Linked DNA regions of Tamandua tetradactyla. The protein of the gene in region 2 purifies or fractionates together with the protein of the main gene of each other region. This does not show direct contact. Links are inferred from orthologs where the notes say so. Each region holds a gene or a part of one and is shown on either strand. Other genes may lie near its edges.

Evidence for each region.
Region 1: the proteins of EIF3L (region 2) and ZNF746 purify together in Homo sapiens (affinity purification with mass spectrometry; 3 studies listed by BioGRID and IntAct, counting the BioPlex papers as one, with this or other methods). This does not show direct contact. The link is inferred for Tamandua tetradactyla from reciprocal best matches to the Homo sapiens genes EIF3L and ZNF746.
Region 3: the proteins of EIF3L (region 2) and EIF3B purify together in Homo sapiens (affinity purification with mass spectrometry; 8 studies listed by BioGRID and IntAct, counting the BioPlex papers as one, with this or other methods). This does not show direct contact. The link is inferred for Tamandua tetradactyla from reciprocal best matches to the Homo sapiens genes EIF3L and EIF3B.

Annotation. Positions count from the first base shown.
Region 1 is NC_135327.1:194,005,684-194,012,593, reverse strand, and holds the start of ZNF746 (zinc finger protein 746), read left to right. Parts: upstream 1-3,861; 5' UTR 3,862-3,964; coding exon 3,965-3,994; intron 3,995-5,427; exon of another isoform or gene 5,428-5,499; intron 5,500-6,169; exon of another isoform or gene 6,170-6,241; intron 6,242-6,910.
Region 2 is NC_135333.1:30,217,353-30,224,350, reverse strand, and holds the start of EIF3L (eukaryotic translation initiation factor 3 subunit L), read right to left. Parts: upstream 3,032-6,998; 5' UTR 2,932-3,031; coding exon 2,899-2,931; intron 2,573-2,898; coding exon 2,524-2,572; intron 1,839-2,523; coding exon 1,628-1,838; intron 1-1,627. UniProt on the Homo sapiens protein: Component of the eukaryotic translation initiation factor 3 (eIF-3) complex, which is required for several steps in the initiation of protein synthesis.
Region 3 is NC_135349.1:1,763,013-1,770,770, reverse strand, and holds the start of EIF3B (eukaryotic translation initiation factor 3 subunit B), read right to left. Parts: upstream 3,022-7,758; 5' UTR 2,659-3,021; coding exon 2,139-2,658; intron 1-2,138.

The DNA.
Region 1 (6,910 bases), on a different chromosome or scaffold from region 2:
GAAATTATTGAGGAGTGTGGGTTGACATATTTCAACTGCTAATAGGAACAGAAACTGTTAACCTAAGTTCTGTGAGGAACGAAATAGAAAATCAGGTTAAAACAAAGGCTAGGTGAGATCACAAGCATGCACTAGGGAGGCCTTCAGACACAAAGGAAAGGACACTAATGTGGGCCATATGTAGAAATAAAGAACAAGGTTAAACATAACTACATAGAAAAATATAAAAGCCAGTATCATTGTGGTGTTCATTTGTAGCACTTCTCTTTAACTATGATCTAAATAGCTAACAAATGAAACAAAAGTTATTGATCTCTGTTAATGTACCCATGGAGTATAAAGATAAAGTCTGTGAGAATAACGATGTAAAAATGGAGGAACCGTGATGTACATAGACACGCAGATGTATGCGATACAAATGAAGTTGGCATTATTCAAACTAGGTCGTATAGTTCTTGCAAGAACTACTTCAAAGGTGTGATTCATGTACAAAGAGTGTTTAAGTCCAGGGTACAGGGGGGAAACTGCTATTGCATGCTATGGGCTATGTTTAAAAGGAAAATATCAGCACTGCCACAGCAACAGCAGAGATAAATAATGGGGAGGAACAAGAGTTAAGAGGAGGTTTAGATTTCCTATTTGGCGAGGGTGTGTTTATTGGTTTTCTTTCTCTTGGAAACAATTAAATTATTTGAAATTGAGAGTATTGATGGACTGTGGATTTTGAGCCCTATACATGATTCCTGATGAATGCAGATGACTGAAGGATGCACTGACTGAGCAGTAGATTGGCAAATGATGGTGTAAACTTATGAAGAAATGTTGTGCTGGTAAAAAAAAGGAATGCAGTTGTGAGGCAAGCAATGATGTGAATGAATGTATGGGACATTTGGTGAGGAAAATAAGCCAGAAACATAAGAACAACAATGGTATGGTCTCCTTTAGAAAATTTTTACAAGAAAACAGGGGCCTAGATTGTAAGATTTAACAGCAGACACATTTAATCCAGTGGCAATTATTATTTCTGGATTTTGAAAGGTTGTTTTATATGTATATAAACCTGATATATATATATATATATATATATATATATATATATTGATTTATATGTATAAATAATATATTTATTCTATATGTTTATATATGTAAATATATATAATATATATTTTATATATATATAACCTGATATTTAGAGATAAGAACGAAGCTAATCAGGTTGGGTTAAATTCAGAACACAGGGGTAATGAAGACATTATCTACATTTTAGAACCACACATACTCTTTAGGACCAAAGGAAGAAAGGTTTATTTGGTCTGGAACCAAAATTTTCTGTAACACATAATCTAACTCAACCTATCAGTATATTGAACAACTAAAATACAGGGAGCCCAGAATAAGAAAGAGGTCCTTTAATCCTGTATAGCCTAATGTAATGCCTGGATACATCCTAGAGTATATTAAGCAGATAATCAAAAAGTATTGGCAAAGTCCCTTGAGGAATGGAAAAAAATATATGAAACTATTAAACTTTACCATCAGGAAATTTCCCGATATTGTGTCAAACTTTAGGAACACCCAAATTAATAGTCCATGTCCTTGATCTTGAGGTTTACTACTGTGAAGCTTATGTAGGTAGCAGAGAAGCATAGTCTACCTATAGGTATGCCTAAGAGTTACTTCTGGAGGACCTCTGTTGTTGCTCAGAGATGACCTCACTCTCTCTAAGCCCAGTACTGCAAGTGAAATCATTGCCTTCTCCCCTATGTGGGACATGACATCCAGGGGTGAAAGTCTCCCTGGTGATGTGGGAGAGGACTCCCAGGGATGAATCCAGACCTGGCACCATGGGATCAACAATTCCATCCAGACCAAAAGGGGGAAAAGAAGTATAACTAATAAAGTATCAGTGGCAGAGAGAGTTCAAATAGAGTCAAGAGGCTACACTCCGGAGGTTGTTTTTCCGCAAGCTTTAGTTTGCTACCTACCACAACCTGCCAAACTCCAACCAGGACCATTCCAGCCAATCCTAACGCACACCTAGGGCAATATATAAGATTCCACAAGGTTTCCATATGCTACTGTAACTTTCCAGAAACCTACAACCTCCAGATGGGTCCCTGGACAAGGTAAGTTCTGAAACCTAGAGGGCCCAGCCTCTCCAAAACATCAGATAGTTCAATCTCCCTACCCCATATTAGTGACAGACTGTTCCAACATGCAAGAGTTAGAATGGCCATAGCCCAAACATCCCTAAAGAGAGGGAGAGAAAGAGCAAAGGGGATAGTAGAGTTATACAGAGAAGATCAGATTTAACAAATGAATATGAATGCTGAATCATTAAATTGATATTTCTTTTAGTCTCCAGTATCTTAGAACAGCTAGAAGTGAAAACCTAAAATTGTGGAATTGTAGCCCATGTCAAACTCTGAAATATGTTCTACAATTAATTGTGGTGCTGCGCTTTGAAATTTATTACTCTTTTGTATATATGTTATTTTTCACACACAAAGAAAGAAAAACTGTCAATTGTGGTGATAAAAATTAGTCAAGCCTTCTAGCCTCCTATATTCTGGCAAAGCTAGAAGGAAAAATCTGAGAGGATCGTATGGTAGCCCATGACAAACTCTGGGATCTGTCCTGTAACTACTTGTTGAAGAGTGCTTTGAAAACTACTGCTTTTTATTTCTTTGCTTTGTATATATGTTATACAGGTAAATTAATGAACCAGGTAAATTAATGAAATACAAAGGAAGGGAGAAAAGGGAGGAACTGAGGGTCAAAAATCATATACAACATAGAGAAAAACAGATTGTCCTTCCACATCAATACTGCTTTAAATGTAATTGGTCTGTATTTTTCTTTTCTCTACTGTCTTTGCCTGGTGTCAGTGCTAGGTGATGCTGGTCCCGCAGGGTTAGTTAGGAAGTGTGCTCCCCTATTCAATTTCTCTAAAAGATACGTAACAATTGCTGTTAATTGTTTTTAAATTTTTGGTAGAATTGACCAGGTAAGTCATCAAATCTTGAGCTTCTCTTTGATGGTAGGGTTTGTTTACTGATTCAATGTCTTCATTTGATTTAAGTCTGTGGTAGGATGAATTATGTATCCCAACAAACACATGTCCTTAATCTCAATCTGGATGTGAACCCCGTGTATAAAGGGCCTTCGGAGATGTTACTTTTAGTTGTGGTGTGGCCCAGCTGAATTAGGGAGGGTATTAATCAGTTTCCTAGAGGCTTAATAGTATGAACCAGGAAGTGACAGAAGCTGGAAATGATTGCACAGTGTTTTGGGAGAAAGAATACAAGCCAAAGGAACTCCAGGATTGTCAGAAGCCAGCAGCAGAGTGCTACCATCTTTACAGGAAAAAGCAAATTCTACTAAAACCTTGATTGTGGAATTCTTCTTTCAGCCTCTAAACTGTGGTTCAGTAATTTCCCATTGTTTGAGACAAAACCAGTTTGTGGTATTTGTGACTGCAGTGCAGGCAAAATGAGACTGTTCTATTCAATCTTTCTATTTCTTTCTGTGTCAGTTTGGTGGTTTGGGTGTTTCTGGAAATTTGTCCAAGTCACTTAGGTCATATGATGTGTAGCAATACGGTTGTTTGTGTCATCCTCTTATAATTGTTTTAGTTTGCACACAGTTGGTAGTAATGTCTCCTTTTTCATTTTTGATATCTGAAGAAATTCTTCTTTCCCATTTGAAATGATCTCAGCACCCTTGCCAAAAATCAATTGACCCTAGATGGGAGGGCTTATTTCTAGGCCTTCAATTCTATTACGATGGTCTCTATGACTACCCTTATGTCAGAACAAAGGCAACTAAGAAACTCATCCCACAAGAATGATCAGAAAGAATAAAGTGCCAAGGAATAAATTTAACCAAGGGGGAGAAGACATGTCCACTGACAACTACAAAACGTTGCCAAAAGAGATCAAGAGATGTCAATAAATATAAAGATATGCAGTGTGCATGGATTAGAAGTCTTAAGGTTGGTAAGTTGTCCTGATTACACCAAAAGGTCTAAAGCTTCAATGCATTCCATATCAGTGTCCTTAGATTATGTTTTATGGAAATAGAAATTCCCATTCTAAAATTCTAATGAACTTCAAGGAATCCAGAACAGCCAAGACAGTTTTGAAAAGGAACAAAAAAGTTAGAGAAGTCACACTTCCATTGACAAAATCTACTACAAAGCTACAGAAATGAGAACACGTGGGGTCAGAAAACTGGATACCCACATGGCTGTTATAACAGAATCAAGGAAATAAGAAGTGCTGATGAGGATGCAGAAAAGTAGGCACCCATGCACACTTTTAGTGGGATTCTAAGTTTACCTCTCTTGCAAAGAGTTGGGTGGAGCCTCAGAAAGTTGAACTCAGAATGACTGTATGAATTTCCAATTCTACACCTACATTTCTATGTGGCAAAGCATTGAAAGCAAGGACTCGACTAGATACTTGGACACCAAAATTCATGGCACCATTATTCATAAACTCAAAAACATGGAAACAATTAGCGTCTATCATCAGAAGAATGGATTAACAAAACAGGCTTCAAAAATATAATGGACTATTATGCGCTCACAAGAAGGAATTTAGTACTGATACTCTCTAGAATATAGATGAACTGTGAAGACATGATGTTGAATGAAATACATCAGACAAAAAAAGACAAATATTCTATGATTTCCCTTATATGAAATACTTAGAATCACCATGTCCACAGATCAAAATTAAATGACAGATTACTGAGGGTGAGAAGCAGGGATGGGAAAATAGTTTTGTGCAGAGTTTCTATTTGGGGTGATCAAATAATTTTGGTAATGGATGCTGTCGAGGGCAACACAACAGTGTGAATATAATAAATACCAGTGACGGGAAATTTTTAATTGTATTAAGGGCGTCAGAACTAAAGTTGAAAAAGAAAAAAGGATCCCCTTGTTCAAATCCAGAGTCCTCTCTTTTTACTCATGCTATGTTGCTTCAATGTTGCTTCCCAGGACTACTATTTCAGGATCTGTGTCAAGTATTGGAAAGTTCATTGACTCCTCCATTCACCATCATCATGACTTAAATGTGGAGAGTGCATGTGTCTCAAAAGTGGTTGAGCAGCATTTCTTCATATTACCATTTGGTCATTTATAACATGAGGAAAACAGGCAAGTAAATCCTAAAGTTCCTTCCAGTTATAAGTATCAATGCTTCTCCTGTTTCTGTCACCTCTGACTGATGGCAAGCAGAGATGCAGAAATGAGAGCAGGCAGTAGGGTTGGGGAGCCTCTGGGAGTGAGTTCATATAAGAGTAGGTTGCCGGTCATACCTGCTTTGTAGAGATGATAAATTTACAGTGTGCTGAAGGAGTCATGGGTAAGAGTTTATATAAAATTGCAAAGGTGCTTACAAAGCCAGTTGCTATGAGCAAGGGGGTATAGCTCAGGGGTAGAGCATTTGACTGCAGATCAAGAGGTCCCTGGTTCAAATCCAGGTGCCCCCTACCATTGGTTTTTCTAGCCACAAAACCTATCGCTTGCATGCTCAGACTTCTACTGGCTGTCTCTCCCAGGGCAAACCACGGATAAACAGTAACTTATAACCCCAAATCATCACCCTCAGCTCCCCTCTTCCTATCAAGACAGCATGGCTCACTGCACTGGCAGTCAGACATAAGAGGGCACATTATAGCATTCAAGATCTCATGTAGGGCAGATTTTTCACTCTGGGAATCTCGTTTCTAACACACCATGGCTCTCTCCTATACTTGTCCCAAACCCATAAGACTGAGCCCTGGCTTAGGTTCTGTACCAATGAAACAAGGGGTCTACACTTGTAACTTTGTGAAACCATTTGAACTATAGCCCATTTCTATCTTTACTGGGGGCCCAGAGGAGGATTATCTGTGTATTTTGGCAAAATCCAATGACCAGCCCTCAGACTAAACAGAAAAAGTGATAGGTAATGGGCTGAGGGTCCTACAGGCATATCTTTTCTTGCCCCACTGCGATCTCAACCCAAGAACTGAGGTTGGGAAAACTCCCGATCTGTTGCTATGACTCATGCCTAGCAACTTCCAAGACACCAGTTCAGAGAAGAAGTGAAAACTGTTTTATAGAACTGAGTGTTACCAGACAGGTGAAAGGTAACAACTAATTTGCACTAGCATGCCAGGGGGTGTAGCTCAGAGGTAGAGCATTTGACTGCAGATCAAGAGGTCCCTGGTTCAAATCCAGGCACCCCCTTTCTTGTCTATATTTTTGGTAGCTGAGGCTACCCACATACTCTTTTGTGGGCCCAACACAAGTCTGAAGAGATCTCCACTGGTTGGAGTGAGTAGGAAACCCCAGTTTGGTAGCCAATGACACCCACATATCGCTTACATAAGTCCCACCCAAAGGCCTAAGTGTCCTCCACCAATTGTGGTTTCTTGGAGCAACCCACAGAACCTCTCTCTCTCTGGACTGCAAAACCTGAGGTCACAGTGATGTGACATTGATGTCTATGGGGATCATATCCTCAACCACACTGTGTTCCCTGAAGGCACATGCTGACGGGAAAGCCTCCCACCTCCTAATGTCCAGTACAGAGCACACATAGCAGCTCTCAAAAACTTTCTCTGAAACCAGGGCTACAGTCCAGGCAAATGTCAAAGGGGTGCACCAGCACAGAGACAATCTGGAAAGACTGGGAAAGATGCTTTAACTTATACTCCTAGCATTCAATGACTGAATACAGGCTAAATTTGTGAGAATCAAGAACAAACAGGAACAAGAATGAAGTTCTGATCCATGCGACAACATGGATGAAATTTTAAGACTTCATATTGACTGAAATAAGCCAGACACAAATGGGAAAATATGGTATGGCCTCAGCAGTGTGACAAATCAGAATAAGCAAATTATACAGTCTGA
Region 2 (6,998 bases):
CCAGCTATATCCCTCTGTGCTATCCATTACAGTAGGTACCAACCACATGTGGCTGGCACGACTGAGGAAGCGAATAACTTGGGTATGTGAGTCTACCTTTAGAACTGTAAATTTTAAGAAATACCTACAGATCAAGTATTTACAATGAAAATGTAGTATGTGAACTGAGATATTCGATAAATGTAAAACACACATTAAACTTAGAAGACTTAGTATGAAGACATAAAAGATCTCATTAACAGTCTTTGTTGTTATTGAACAGATTTTAAAGTTGGTATGGGTTACAATTCCACAATTTTAGGTTTTTACTTCTAGCCGCTCTAAGGTACTGGAGTCTAAAAGAAATGTCAATATGATTCAGCACTCATAATCACTTGCTATACCCTACCTTTTCTGTACAATTCCTCAATTACCTTTGATCTTTCTCCCACTCTTTAGGAGTATCTGGGCTATGGCCATTCTAGCTTTTTCATGTTGGAAGGGGCTGTCAATAATATGAGATAGGGGGATGGAACTAGCTGATGTTCTGGAGAGGCTGGCCCCTCTGCATTTCAGGACTTATCTGGTCCAGGGACCCATCTGGAGGTTGTAGGTTTCTGGAAAGTTAATCTAGCAGATGGAATCTTTGTAGAATCTTATATAATGCCCTAAGTAGTCTTTAGTTTTGACAGGAATGGTTTTGGTTGAGGTTTGGCAAGTTATGATAAGAAGCAACGTCTAACTGAAGCTTGCAATGGTTTTTTTTTTATACTGATTATTTGCAAAATTATATTTTGGGTACATGGGATTAAATAACATTAAAATGAATTTTAACTGTTTCTTTTAATATTTTTAATGTAGCTGCTGAACATTTTTAAATTACACTAGTGGCTAGTATCATGTTTCTATTAAATAGCAGCGGCCTATATATTTCTCATCAGAAAGGCCTGAGGAATGAAGGAAACAGATCAGGGATTAAGGTGCTCCTAGTCATTGACTCAGTAGGCCTCGAACCATATTGCTTTCACCATTCACCCTTCCAAGACTGGCTTAAATTCTATTACCTTGGCGAAGACTTTCTTTACTATCCCACCCTGGACTGATCCACCTCAGCTCTAATGCCCAGTACACGAAGGCAATCCTCAAAACACCAGAAGCAACCACTCTGGAGCCTGGCACACCACAGCACACACCGAGAGGTTGTAAAGCACAGAAGTTCAGAATTAGGCTCTGGTGTCAGACTGTATAATTTCAAAATCTAGCTCATCCACTTAGCTTCTACATACTTATACTCATGCACTTATCCCCTGTGTATTGTTTCTTCACCTATAAAAACAGGAAAACAACAGGACCTACTTCATAGGGTTACTGAGGAGGGTAACAAATAAGTCCAAAAGTACTCTGGGTACTGCCTGATCCATACTGATAATACATATTAACTGCCATTATAATTATTAACATAGCTACAGTTATTTAAGGCTTTATACAAATTCCTGGAGCTATAGTCCAACAAAATAACTTTCCCCTTTCCTACTGAGACTCCTGGGCAGTTTCTTCACAGAAAATGATTAAACAGCACCCCTTCTGTAGGGCCTGAATAGCTAGGCTAGTACCACACAGTGAGGTTATTTTGGCCAGCAGCACATACCTGTTCTCGTAGATGTCCTGGATCTCATACACCTTCTGGTCAATGACATCACTGGAGACTCGACTGGCCTGTAGCTCATAAACTTTCTGATCAATCAAATCTGAGACGGTTTTGTGGAAATACTGGATAAAATTTTTTATCACTTCAGGAATCACCTGATATGTCTGCTGTTCATACTGACGTTCATAAGCCAGGTCCTGCTTTGGATCTCCTACAGGTTGGATATAATAAATAAATAAATACTTTACAAAGTGCTCTCAGACCCATATTATGTGATGTAATGAAAAAGGCAGGACCATCCCCAAGTAACCATGAGCTAAATTCAAGTCTATGAAATTCAGTGTAACTCCCCTTTAAACAACTCAAAGAGATATAACCTTCCCTAAGTTGTTCTCCATCCCATCACCCTATTTCTTCAGGACATTTATCACTACTAAAACGATTTACTCAATTATTTGTTTTCTCTACTAGAAAGTAAAGTTCTAAGTACTAAATCAAGCCCAGTCTTTGTAAATTGTACAAAACCTCAAAGCTCCTCTACCCCACAAATACTTCATTTGAGTATGGTTTGAATCATTTCAACTTTTCACGTCAAAATTCTCTTTTTCGGCTAAAAGTTAAAACAAAGAGACCACAGTCTGGCCAGTCAAAAATCCTTCTCTTCTGAGACTGTTTAGACTGACCACAAAAAAGGGGGGGGGGGGGGAGAGTAGGAGGTTAGTTTATTAGATTCTACCCAACCCTCCCACTGAGAGTTAATAACTGACTCCAAGCCTGGACCATCAAGTAGCAGTTTTTAAGAGATACCCATCAGAGCTGTTCTGAGCCATTCAAAAAGGTGCCAATCCCTAAGATAGTCAAACAAACTCTTACCTGTATGTATATACAGGTCTTACCTGTATGCATATCATAGTCACCCGGGTAAGCATATGGATCATAAGCAGCCTAGAACGACAGACACACATAGTCAACAATTTGTGAATCCACAACCTTCGTCCCACGGGCATCCTGCGTCAAGTAGGAAGCTAGGGATACAGGCATGGGCAGGGTACAGCCTCTGTAGTCGGTCCCGAAAAAGGGAAGGACGAAGATGACCAGGCAAGAGAAGCGGGCGGGGAGACGGTGGCAAAGGAAGCCGGAGCTGTGGCTACTGCATAAGGGCCACGCGGGAAGGCAAGGCGAAAGCGAGACACCATCTCTCCCCGAGGCCCAGCACCCAGAGAGCCCCTGCCCAGGTCGTGGACCCGACCACGCGCTTACAAGCATCCTACCTCCGACTCGTAATCATCCGCGGGGTAGGACATAGCAGCAAAACTCGCGAAACCGCCGCCGAAAGAGAAAAAGAAATGCCACCGCCTGCCCTGTGAGACCGGAACTTCCGACACTTCTCGGTCCTGCTGGGAAACCGGAAGCCTTGCTATAGCCGGCGGCCACCTCAGATAGCCATGTTCGGAAGGGCTAAAAAAAAAAATAATAATAATAATAATAAAATAACTACAAGGCCTAAGTTCTTTCTATTTTCTTCAAAGAGAGGCTTTGAAAGAAAGTCACGTTATATGACTTTCATAAATTCAGAACTAAGGGCATGAAATAGTTCGGCATAAAGGGCGGGCAAATTAAGTCTCCTATGAAATGCCACACAAAAGATGTCTGACAGCTTCCTGGGTCCGCCTTCTTGCGTGAAAGGATATCCGGACGTAGGGGGCCTGACTACGGATTTAGGTGTGGGAGGCTTGCCTGAGGCAAATAACGTCTTCAAACTTTCCGGCCTCAAGACCCTAAATTTGCTGTGTTACAGTTGAGTCTTGGTTTCATTCAGTGAGGTGGTATTGAGAAAAGGCGCTCCCAACTTTGCACATTATGATTGGAGCAGGCAAGAACGAAGCCAGCTGTTTCTGTAGCAGAGAAGCTAAACTATCTATAGTTGGCCTAAGAGTTTATAGCAGAGGACCTCTTTTGTTGCTCAGGTGTGGCCTTTCTCTGAGCTCAGCTCTGCAGGGAAGATAGTTGCCCTCTCCCTACAGACATGACATCCAGGGGTGAAAGTCTCCCTGGCAATGTGGGACATGACTCCAGGGGATGAGCCTGGCCCTGGCGCTGTGGGATCACCTGCACTTTCCTCACCAAAAAGGGAAAGAGAAACCTAACAGAGTGAGATATCAGTGACTGAGAGTTAAAGTGAAGTCAAAGGGCTATTCTAGAGACTACTCTTACACAAGCTTTAGCTAGGTATTGCTAATTTCCACAGTTTGCCAGACCCCAAACAAAACCATTCCTGTTAACCCTGAGGAATACCTAGGGCTCTGTCTGAGATTGTATATAAGTTTCATGTACTAAGTTTATTTTCTGGAAATCTACAACCTCCAGATGGTTTCCTAAGCCAGGTAAGTCCTGAAATCCAGAGGAGCCAGCCTCTTCAAGAACATCAACTAGTTCCATCCCCCCGTCCCATATTATCGACACCCATTTCCAACATGAAAAAGTTAGAATGGGCAAATAACTCTAAAGATTGGGAGGGGGGTGGGGGGAGAGGGAGAATTAGAGAAGATAGGGTTTGGTGAATGACCAACCTAACTCGTTATATTGATATTTCTTTTAGTCTCCTGTGTCTTGGAGTAGCTAGAAAGAAAAACCTGAAATTGTGGAACTGTAACCCATGTCAAACACTGAAGTTTGTCCTATCACTACTTGTTACAATGTAGGTTGAAATTTATTGCTTTTTTTTTGTATATATATTTTGCAAGAAAAATGTTAAAAAAAAAAAAAAAAAAAAAACAGAAATGCCAGAGCCAGCTGTGGTGTTGTGGTGTGAAGCCCTAGGGCGAAGCCTGAGATCGAGTCAGCGCTTGAGCACCCAGGCTGTGCATTGTGATCGGAGTAGTAAGAGGTGCTCTTAGCTCTGCGGGAGCCCTGGAATTAGGGATGGAAGCTATAAGACAAGCCAACAGAAACCGGGAGGGGGCCTTGGTTTAGCCATCTGCCCGTTTACAATACCAAGACAGGAAATCTGGGTTCCAGTCCCTGCTATGCCTCTGATTTGCTGTGTGGCCAGAAGCAAGTTTCACCCTCTCTGGGCCCTAGCCTCCATATTTTCTAGTTATACTACCCTCTTTGCTTTTCCCATCTGCTTCAGGGCTTTTCTGCTTAGAATTACCTGTATCTAAATTCTAGAATGCAGTCCTTACAGACATCCACAAGGCATGCTGCATCACTCCTTCAGGTGTGTTTACTGTCATCAACTTAGAGCATCCTATTTTAGAATTACAACTCCCAGCTCCAGTGCCCTTTGCCCTGTTCTTGCTTTGTGTACCTTAGTTGCAGTGTCATCAAAGGTGTGATTAATTTACCATGGAACTAATGGAGCTTAAGTTTCATGTCTCTTTGATTCACCAGGTCTCTTCCATGACTCAGGAAGAGTAGCTAGCAATGTACTCACATGGTCAAAATTTGCCAATATAATATTGTTACTGCAATTGGTTCCAACCACTCTCTCCACTCTAATTCCCTTCTTTGCAATTCACACTATGTCTGTTGGCATTTGGATCTGGCAGAGGAAATCTAGTTGGGAACATTTGGGTTTAATAAGATGTATGTAAGTGACACTGCTCCTTCTGTGCATAATTAACTTATTGCAGGTCTCCCTAGGTAGGACACTTACCATCCCCTGTTGTCAGTGAGTGTCATCAATCAATTATGGAAAATGATAATATGAAATTGTCATATAAAGAGGCAACCAAAGGGCGGGCCACGGTGGCTCAGCAGGCAAGAACGCTTGCCTACCACGCCAGAGGACCTGGGTTCAATTCCCAGTGCCTGCCCATGTTAAAAAAAAAAAAAGAGGCAACTAAAGAGTAATTTGTCAGCCAAAAAAAAAGAGAAAACATTATGGAAGTGTTTCAGAACATTAACAAATATGTTACTTCTCTGGATTTGTGATGTTTGTGGTAGTTGTCACCTTTAAAAAATTATAATTGTTTGAGTTCTCAAGTTGTGCTGTGATTTCTCCTTCTAAATTGATACTCTCTTTCACACCTGGCTTTGTGTAATTTTCTAGTCGTCATTCTTCATATAAGATTCAGGCCCCACTGAACTTGGATCTCTTGTTTATAATACTATAGCATATATTTTATTTGTTAGTTTTTTTCTTTAAGACTTTCTACCCTCCTGTACACTCTAGTTTAGAGAATCACGATGCAAGTTAGAATGGTAAAGGCTCTGAGTGGAGCCTCTGCACTGGCTTCTTTTTCCCATTTTTATTAGTTCCTCATCATCTCTCCAATCACTAAATAGTGAACTGCTCTATCCTTCCTCGGTTGGTCCTTGGGTCTCTTCATTATCTACCTCACTCCCTGTCTCAGCCAATCCAGTATACTTAGATATCATCCGTATGCCACTAACTCCACAGATTTCTCTCTCTTCTCCAGACCCCACCCCTGACGTGGGCCCCTGGCCCATTGCCTGTTCCCATCACAACCTGAATATTTAATAAGCACCTCAAAGTTAATATCCAAACTGAACTCCTGACCTTCTGCTTCAACCCTGCTCCTCTCACAGTTTCCCCCATCTCAGTGAAGGGCAACACATTTCTTTCAGTTGCTCGGGCCTAAACCTCCAGAGCCATCCTTTACTCCTCTATCTTTTTACACCCCACATCAAATCCATCTGCAACTCTTGTTGGCTCTACCTTCAAAAATATTCTCAGATTCTCAGTTCTTACCACCTTGGTCTCTATTATCTTGGTTCAAACCACCATCATCTCACCTATATTATTGTAACAGCCTCCTCACTCTTCCTGCTTCCACTCTCAATCCATATCTGTCGAACTGCATTTAGAATGAAACTTACTCCACAAGCTGTAAAGAATAAAGTAAAACTGTCTTTATTCACAGATGGCATGATACTCTATATAGAAAATCCTAAGGACTCTACAAAGAAGTTACTGTAATAAATTTATCAACGTTATGTGAAATATGGTCAGTATGCACAAAAAATCTATTATATATTTTTTAAATAAAAAATATATTATTATATACTGGTTGTGATGATTAAGTTTATGTGTCAGCTTGGCCGGGTTATGGTGTCCAGTTGTTTGCTCAAACAAGCACTGGCCTGATTGTTACTTTGAGGATATTTCATGGATTTAAATAATCGTTAAGTTGATTACATCTTCTACAATCAACTGAGAAGATTGCCTTCAACAATGAGATAAGACTCATCTAAAAATAATGTATTAGATTAAATGTCCTTATAGTTAAGTCATTGTTACTTGCAGCCTAAAGCCGTCTTAATATGCCTTATCCCTTCATTTTATATTTTACACATAGAATCTTCTGTGTATTTGATTCAGGATTTGTAAATTCCAGAAGAAACC
Region 3 (7,758 bases), on a different chromosome or scaffold from region 2:
ACTTTGCATCTGACCACCACGTGTTAAGATATTATTTTCTTGGTTTATCACTGTCTACTTCAATACAGTGTTTTCATTTTTCTCTTTAGTACAAAGTCAATAGGTAGATGAATCCATGGATGGGGTTCCAGCTTGCTGAAATAAAAGCTAAAAACAAAACAAAACAAAAGAAATAAAAACAATGAGATCAGCCATCAACAAAACTCACTTTAAGAAACAGGACCTCAGACAGAAGCAGAAATGCCTGAAAGTCATTCAAGGTAGAACTGAAGCAAATGTGGAAAGATAATTTGCAAGAGAATGATGACAGCCTGCTTTATAGGCTTAGCAGGACTCTGCAGGGCCTCGGCCCAGCACGTCCTGCTCAGACACCTCTGGAGGCAGACACCTGTGGGGTAGGGTGAGCCCGCACTGTGGGGTAGGGTGAGCCCGCACTGTGGGGTAGGGTGAGCCCGCACTGTGGGGTAAGGTGAGCCCGCACTGTGGGGTAGGGCGAGCCCGCACTGTGGGGTACGGCGAGCCCGCACTGTGGGGTAGGGCGAGCCCGCACTGTGGGGTAGGGCGAGCCCGCACTGTGGGGTAGGGTGAGCCCGCACTGTGGGGTAGGAACCAACCCACACTGTGGGGTAGGGTGAGCCCGCACTGTGGGGTAGGGTGAGCCCGCACTGTGGGGTAGGGTGAGCCCCCACTGTGGGGTAGGGTGAGCCCGCACTGTGGGGTAGGGTGAGCCCGCACTGTGGGGTAGGGTGAGCCCGCACTGTGGGGTAGGGCGAGCCCGCACTGTGGGGTAGGGCGAGTCCGCGCTGTGGGGTAGGGCGAGTCCGCACTGTGGGATAGGGCGAGCCCGCACTGTGGGGTAGGGGTGAGCCCGCACTGTGGGGTAGGGTGAGCCCGCACTGTGGGGTAGGAACCAACCCACACTGTGGGGTAGGGTGAGCCCGCACTGTGGGGTAGGAACCAACCCACACTGTGGGGTAGGGTGAGCCCGCACTGTGGGGTAGGAACCAACCCACACTGTGGGGTAGGGTGAGCCCGCACTGTGGGGTAGGGTGAGCCCGCACTATGGGGTAGGGGTGAGCCCGCACTGTGGGGTAGGGGTGAGCCCGCACTGTGGGGTAGGGCGAGCCCGCACTGTGGGGTAGGAACCAGCCCGCACTGTGGGGTAGGAACCAGCCCGCACTGTGGGGTAGGGTGAGCCCGCACTGTGGGGTAGGGTGAGCCCGCACTGTGGGGTAGGGTGAGCCCGCACTGTGGGGTAGGGTGAGCCCGCACTGTGGGATAGGGGTGAGCCCGCACTTGTGGGGTAGGGCGAGCCCGCACTGTGGGGTAGGAACCAACCCACACTGTGGGATAGGGGTGAGCCCGCACTGTGGGATAGGGGTGAGCCCGCACTGTGGGGTAGGGTGAGCCCGCACTGTGGGATAGGGGTGAGCCCGCACTGTGGGGTAGGGCGAGCCCGCACTGTGGGGTAGGAACCAGCCCGCACTGTGGGGTAGGGTGAGCCCGCACTGTGGGGTAGGGTGAGCCCGCACTGTGGGGTAGGGTGAGCCCGCACTGTGGGGTAGGGGTGAGCCCGCACTGTGGGGTAGGAACCAGCCCACACTCAGCAGTCAGAGCCCGCTTTTCCTGCAGCTCATTTGGGGGCCTGGCTGGCGACCTCTGAGAGCACTCACGCCTGCACACCTGGAAGCTGTCACACCTGGGAGAGAGGGCCCTGTGGCTCCACCTCTGCGGGTCCCCGCCTCGGGGTCCGTCCCTGAGGTCTGCCTAGGCAGCCAACCCCAGCCCGCGCCCCGATCTGCGGCGGGGACGCAGACGAGGGGACCCCCGCCACGCCGTTTCTAATCTGTCCTGGCAGAACAGAGCTGAAGGCGGGCAGGCTGTCCGGGCCGAGAGTGGCTCCCCACGAGGGATGGAGGATGGAGGGCGCTCCCACCTCCCTTGCCGGCTTCTAACGCGGTCAGAGGACACCTGGGCGTGTTTCCAGAACCCGGGACTTCTCCGCAAACACCGCACGGCTCTAAAACTTTCTCTTCGAGCTGTCCCGGGAGGAGGGACGTGGGGACGCCGTCGTTCACACCCCGACTAAGATCTCGGAAACCGAGAGGGCAGAGAAGAGGGCCGCGGGCCCGCCTCACCTTCCTCGCCCACGTCGTCCACGAAGTCCTCGGGGTCGCTGAACGAGGGCTCGTCCGCGTCGCCGTTCTGCACCGCCTGCGGCTCGGCCTCCTCCGCCTTCTCCGCGTCCACGCCCGCCTCCGGCGACGGGGCCTGGGGCCGGCTCTCGGGGGCCTCGCCTCCGGCCTCCTCCCGCGCCTGCCCCTGCGCTGGGGCGGGGGACCCGGGCGGCGACCTGGGCGGCTCCTCCTCGGACGCGGGCGAGGGCGGCTGAGACGAAGCCGGGGAAGCGCCGAGGGCCGCGGCGGCCTCGTCCGCCTCCTTCTCCTCGACCTCCGGTTCTGCCTTCAGAGCAAGCTCGGGCCGGGGCTCGGCCGCCGCCTCCGGCTTGTCCTCGGTCACCGCCGCCTCCCGAGTCGCGGGCCCGGCGGGCCGCGGCGGCTCCTCCTCCAGCGGCTGCTCGGCGGCGGGCTGCGGCTGCCCCGGCTCGGCCCCGTCCTCGGCCGCCTCGGGCACCGCCACGTTCTCCGCGTGCTGCATGGGCCCGGGCGCGGCCTCCCTCTCCTCAGACCCAGCCGCCGCCACGCTTCCGATTCTCCCAGGTCGCACCGCGCGCCTCGCCGGCTCCTACTCCCGAGCCATGTGCGTCCGCCCCGGGAAGTCCGCACCAAAGCGCCCAGGACCGAGGGGGGCACCCACACCCCTCCCACAGCGACTGACAAAACCTAGAGTGTAAACGACATGCATACCAATCCTTACAACTATATCAGTATGACCACTATGTTGCCAATTCTAATCATCAAGGTTTTCATCGCTCGGCAAACTCAACGTGCACCATAACTACCCCATTTGAGACGGCGGGTTGGTTCAATCCAACATGGCAACCACTCCCTTCCTTTTCCCATGGGGCGCTACGGCGGACTGTACTATTTGTGACGCCGAAGGGAGACTTAAGAAATTATCTTTGTAAACGAACTTCTATGAAATTTAAACTTTAAATAAAATATTAATATTAGGAAAACTCTAAGTTCGAAAAGCGACTTTGGTTGATGCCATAGCTTTTAGCTAGACAAATCACTTCGCTAACATTACGAAATTCCCCCATTACATTCGGCTCTTAGACTTGTCTACTGACAGAGCGAGAGAACGGACGATTCCAAAACAGGAAAGGAATTTGTGGAGAGGCAGAGGCCACTAACAGTACTGGAAACATGGCTGCCTGGGCCAAAACAAAAATTTATGAGACGTGGTTTAACCGTGTACGCTCAATCGCACAGTGCTTGCTGTACTCCTGCCGTCTCCCTATTCTCACTTCACGATGGTTCGGACTCCCGAGACTTCCGCCCTCGGCCGCGAGACCGGGCGGATCACGTGGCCTCGGGGGGCGGGGCCGGAAGCCACACGGGAGCGTCGGAGGGGTGAGCTGAGGCGGCTTAGGGGAGGTTTGCCCGGGTTTGTATTTCGGTTTTCCTTGCGAAGCTTCACAGCAACCGCTGAATGTGCGATATTTCGATCATACTAAGAAGAACGAGGGTTCTGTGGCTGCGTCTGCTGTGTTTGAATTCTCCCCATCCTGTCAGCTGTGTAACCCGGGGCAAGTCCCCGAGCCCCGCTGCCTCAGTTTCCCCATCTGCGCAGTGAGACGCACATTTGACGTGCGCGGCACGTGGGACCTATCTTGGGAGCCCTTCTCCCAGAAGGGTCCGGCAGCGAGCTAGTTCTCTTCATTACCAAAGGATCCTCTCCATTTCTAGTTTCACCTCGTTTTCTTAAATCGTTGGCTTCTGCCAACCCTCTTCTTATGGAACGTGCTGGAAGGGGACAGGTCAGTGAATGAGAAGCAAATATGAACCCAAGCTTTTCAAAAAGCTTGAAGACGGCTGACCTTAGCTGGACGCGGGGGAGACTTCTGCAGCGTCGCTCGCCCTGCGCGGAGCAGCTGCTCCCTAGGATTTTGCACTGAACGGACTTGGCATGGCCTTTTCTGCAGAGAGAATAGGAACATTGTCTCTTAGCTTCTAGAAAAAGCACTAAGCCCCTCGGCCGTGTAAGAGGCACTGCACGCGATGCCCAGGCTCGGTCAGCGCGTGTGTGCAGCGGGCGTGCAGGGCGCGCGCGGTGGGGACGGCTACGGCGGTCTCGCCCTGGAGGGATCGCCGAGTCGTGGGGCGACCGTCGTCAGTGGAAGCTCAGAAGTGAGTGTGGCAGTGCGTCTGTGGTCGGTTCTTCAGTCACGGGGCACTCCTCCCTGCAGAAGGTGTCGCCGGATCATGCTCTTGATGTGGGTGGGCTTGTCACTCGCCCCTGGTGAGCAGAAGACAGCAGAGATGAGGTTATGTGACTTCCAGGTCTCCGTCATAGAGTCTGATAAGTCCGCCTGGCCCTCCCTCTCTTGGATCTCCGGCTCTGAAAGAAGCTCGTCATCAGGGTGATGACGCCGCAGAGGTGGAGGAAGTGAAGTCTCGGACATCTGAACGCCTTGGGAGCAGGGCCTCCTGCCTCCAGCAGCTTCGGGTACCTGCCCTGCAGCCAACATCTTGATGCAACTCTGAGAAGCGGGGGGCCAGGGCCATCCCCCAAGCTGCTACGGGATTTCTCACGCACAAGAGCCACAAAATAATAAATGTTTATTGTTTTAAACCCAACCCCCCAATTTGAGGGGTAATGTGTTATTTAACAATAGGTAAGTGACACACTAGATCTGTATGTGATAACGTGGTTAGCACTTATGCATATGGGGTTAAGGTTATTAATTGCACATTGATATGTACAGTATGATATCAATTACAAAAAATACGCATCATGTTATAAATATTCTATGAATAATTTTGGTCAGTATTTACAATCTGTACAAAAAGATCTGGAAGAGTACACACTAAACTGAGAACTGGTTGATGAGAATGAAAGGGATTGATGATGTGAGTTCAAGAAACATGTTAGTTATAAAATCTAGGTGGTGAGTTTGTGAGTGTTCACTGTAAAATTTCTTTTAACTTTTCTGTATATTTGAAAATTTGGGGGCAGAATGACTCAGGCCATCTTCAAAGGCCTCCACTAGGACAGTTTGAGCCTCAAAAAGAATAAAAACTGCATTTGATTCATGTACATGGCATATTTAAATCTATACGTTCATATTGTTATAAAAAATTTTTTAAAAAGACAACCTTGTTAATCACAGCTCAATATTGCTGGGCAGTTATTCTGCAAATAAAAGACTCAAGCAAAAAGTAATTTATCTTGCTTTTCTTCTTTGACCCTTAGATAGCCAAATATTTGGTGAGAGAAAGTTCTTTTTGTAAAAGAATTCTAGCTACTATATGCAGAAAGTTCAATAAAATTAGGAAAACAACATTTTTCAGTCCTTCAGAAATAATGAGTCTAAGCAATAATCCTGCAACACTTCTGAAACCATTTGATGAGAGTTGACAGGTAACTTTATAATGGACAGGGTGATACCACATGAATTTAAAGCCTTAAATTTATATCCACAAATTCCCCTCTATCCACTACTTCAGTTGCATCCCACAATTATATGTTATGTTTTCAGGTCAAAATATTTTCTAGTTTTCATTATGATTTCTTCTGGGACCCACAGATTACTTAAAATTGTATTGTTTAATTTCCAAATATTTGAGGTATTCCAGATACATTTCAGTAACTGGTTTCGGATTTAATTTTCTTGAGGACAGATGTTCTAGTTTGCTAGCTGCCGGAATGCAACATAGCAGAAACAGAATGGCTTTTAAAAAGGGGAATTTGATCAGATGCTGGTTTATAGTTCCAAGGCCGAGAAAATGTCCCAGTTAAGACAAGTCTATAGAAATGTCCAATCAAAGGCATCCAGAGAAAGATACCTTGGTTCAAGAAGGCGGATGAAGTTCAAGGTTTCTCTCTCAAGTGAGAAGGCACATGGCAAACACAGTCAGCGTTTCTCTCTCATCTGGAAAGGCACATGGTGAACATGGTCAGGGTTCCTCTCTCATCTGGAAGGGCACGTGGCAAACATGACGTCATCTGCTAGCTTCTTCTGGCTTCCAGTTTCATGAAGCTCTGAGGAGCCATTTTCCTTCTTCATCTCCATAGGTTGCTGGCTGATGGACTCTGCTTTTCATAGCTATGTGTTTCTGCTCTGCTCTCAGAATCACTCTCATTCTCCAAAATGTTTCCTTTTTTATAGAACTCCAGAAACTGATCAAGACCCACCCACATGGGTGGAGACACGCCTCCACCTAATCCAGTTCAACAACCACTCGACTAAATCACATCATCCAGGGAAATGATCTGATCACAGTTTCAACCATACAGTATTGAATAGGGATTATTTTGCCTTTACGAAAATGGGATTTTGATTAAAACATGGCTTTTCTAGGGGACATACATCCTTTCAAACCAGCACAACAGATAACACACTTTGTGTGATTGCAGTCATAGAAATTTAGATTTATTGAGATGTGTTTCATGGCCTAGAATGTGTCTAACTTGAATGTTCCTTGTACACTTGGAAAGCAACTGCTGTCATTGGGTGGCATGTTCAAAGAATGACAGGTCAAGATGGTTAGTAGTACTGTTCACATCTTCTGAAACCTTTCTGTCTTTCTGTCCACTTGTTCTATTAATTGCTGAAAGAGAAATGTTGAATTCTCCAACTGTGATTATATATTTACCTACTTCTCCTTTTAGTTTTATCACTTCTTTCATCTACTTTGAAGGTATAATAGGTGCATATATATTTAGGATTGCCATGTCTTTTTGCTGAATTAACCCCTTTATTATTAAAAATGTTCCTTTTTATCCTAGGTAATATTCCCTGTTCTGGAGTCAATGTTGTCTGCTATTAATATAGGTACCCTCCAGTTTCCTGTTAAACGTTTGTATAAGATAACACTTTTAATCCTTTTGTTTTTAACATATAAGTATCTTGATATTTAAAATAGGTTTTATAGACAGCACACAGTAGGCTCTTTATAATCTAACCCATCACCAGCAGCTGGTTGGCACATTTAGATGGTAACTTTTATAAATCGTTGGAGGCTGACTGTGGACCACCTGGAGAATTAAAAGCTCCTGGGAGCCAATCTTGGAGGGGCCACTACGCGCTCACAGGCTTTGCCTCCAGGAATTCTGCCAGGTTCTTCCAGTGAAGATTTGATAAAGATCCCCTTGTGCTTTGAGTAGGGGAGGAGAAAAGTGCCATTTTAAAAATATGTCTAGGAGAAAAGTAAGCATTTTGAAATACCCAGAGAATGCTCTATAACAGAAGTCTGCCCTCAAGGAAAAAGATTAAAAAAAAAAGAAGAAGAAACATTTCTGAAAGTCACAGCTCAGAGACTCAGGGGCAGTGAGAAACTGAGCTTTATTCATAAAATTATAGCGTGCTTCCCCTCTCCAACACTTTATCACCACATCCAAAGGGCTTCACTGAGAGTGCAAGGGTAGTGGTAGAATTCTCATCTGCCATGCAGACCGGGTTCAATTCCCGGCCCATGCACGTCCCAAAACAAACAAACAAAGAAAAAAGAAAGCAAACAAACAAAAATTCAACAAATGGTGCTGTAATAATGGGATTTTGACATGGAAAAAGACTGAAATGTAGCCCTTGCCGTACAGCAAAAAAAAAGGGCTTCAGTATAGTTGTAAGTT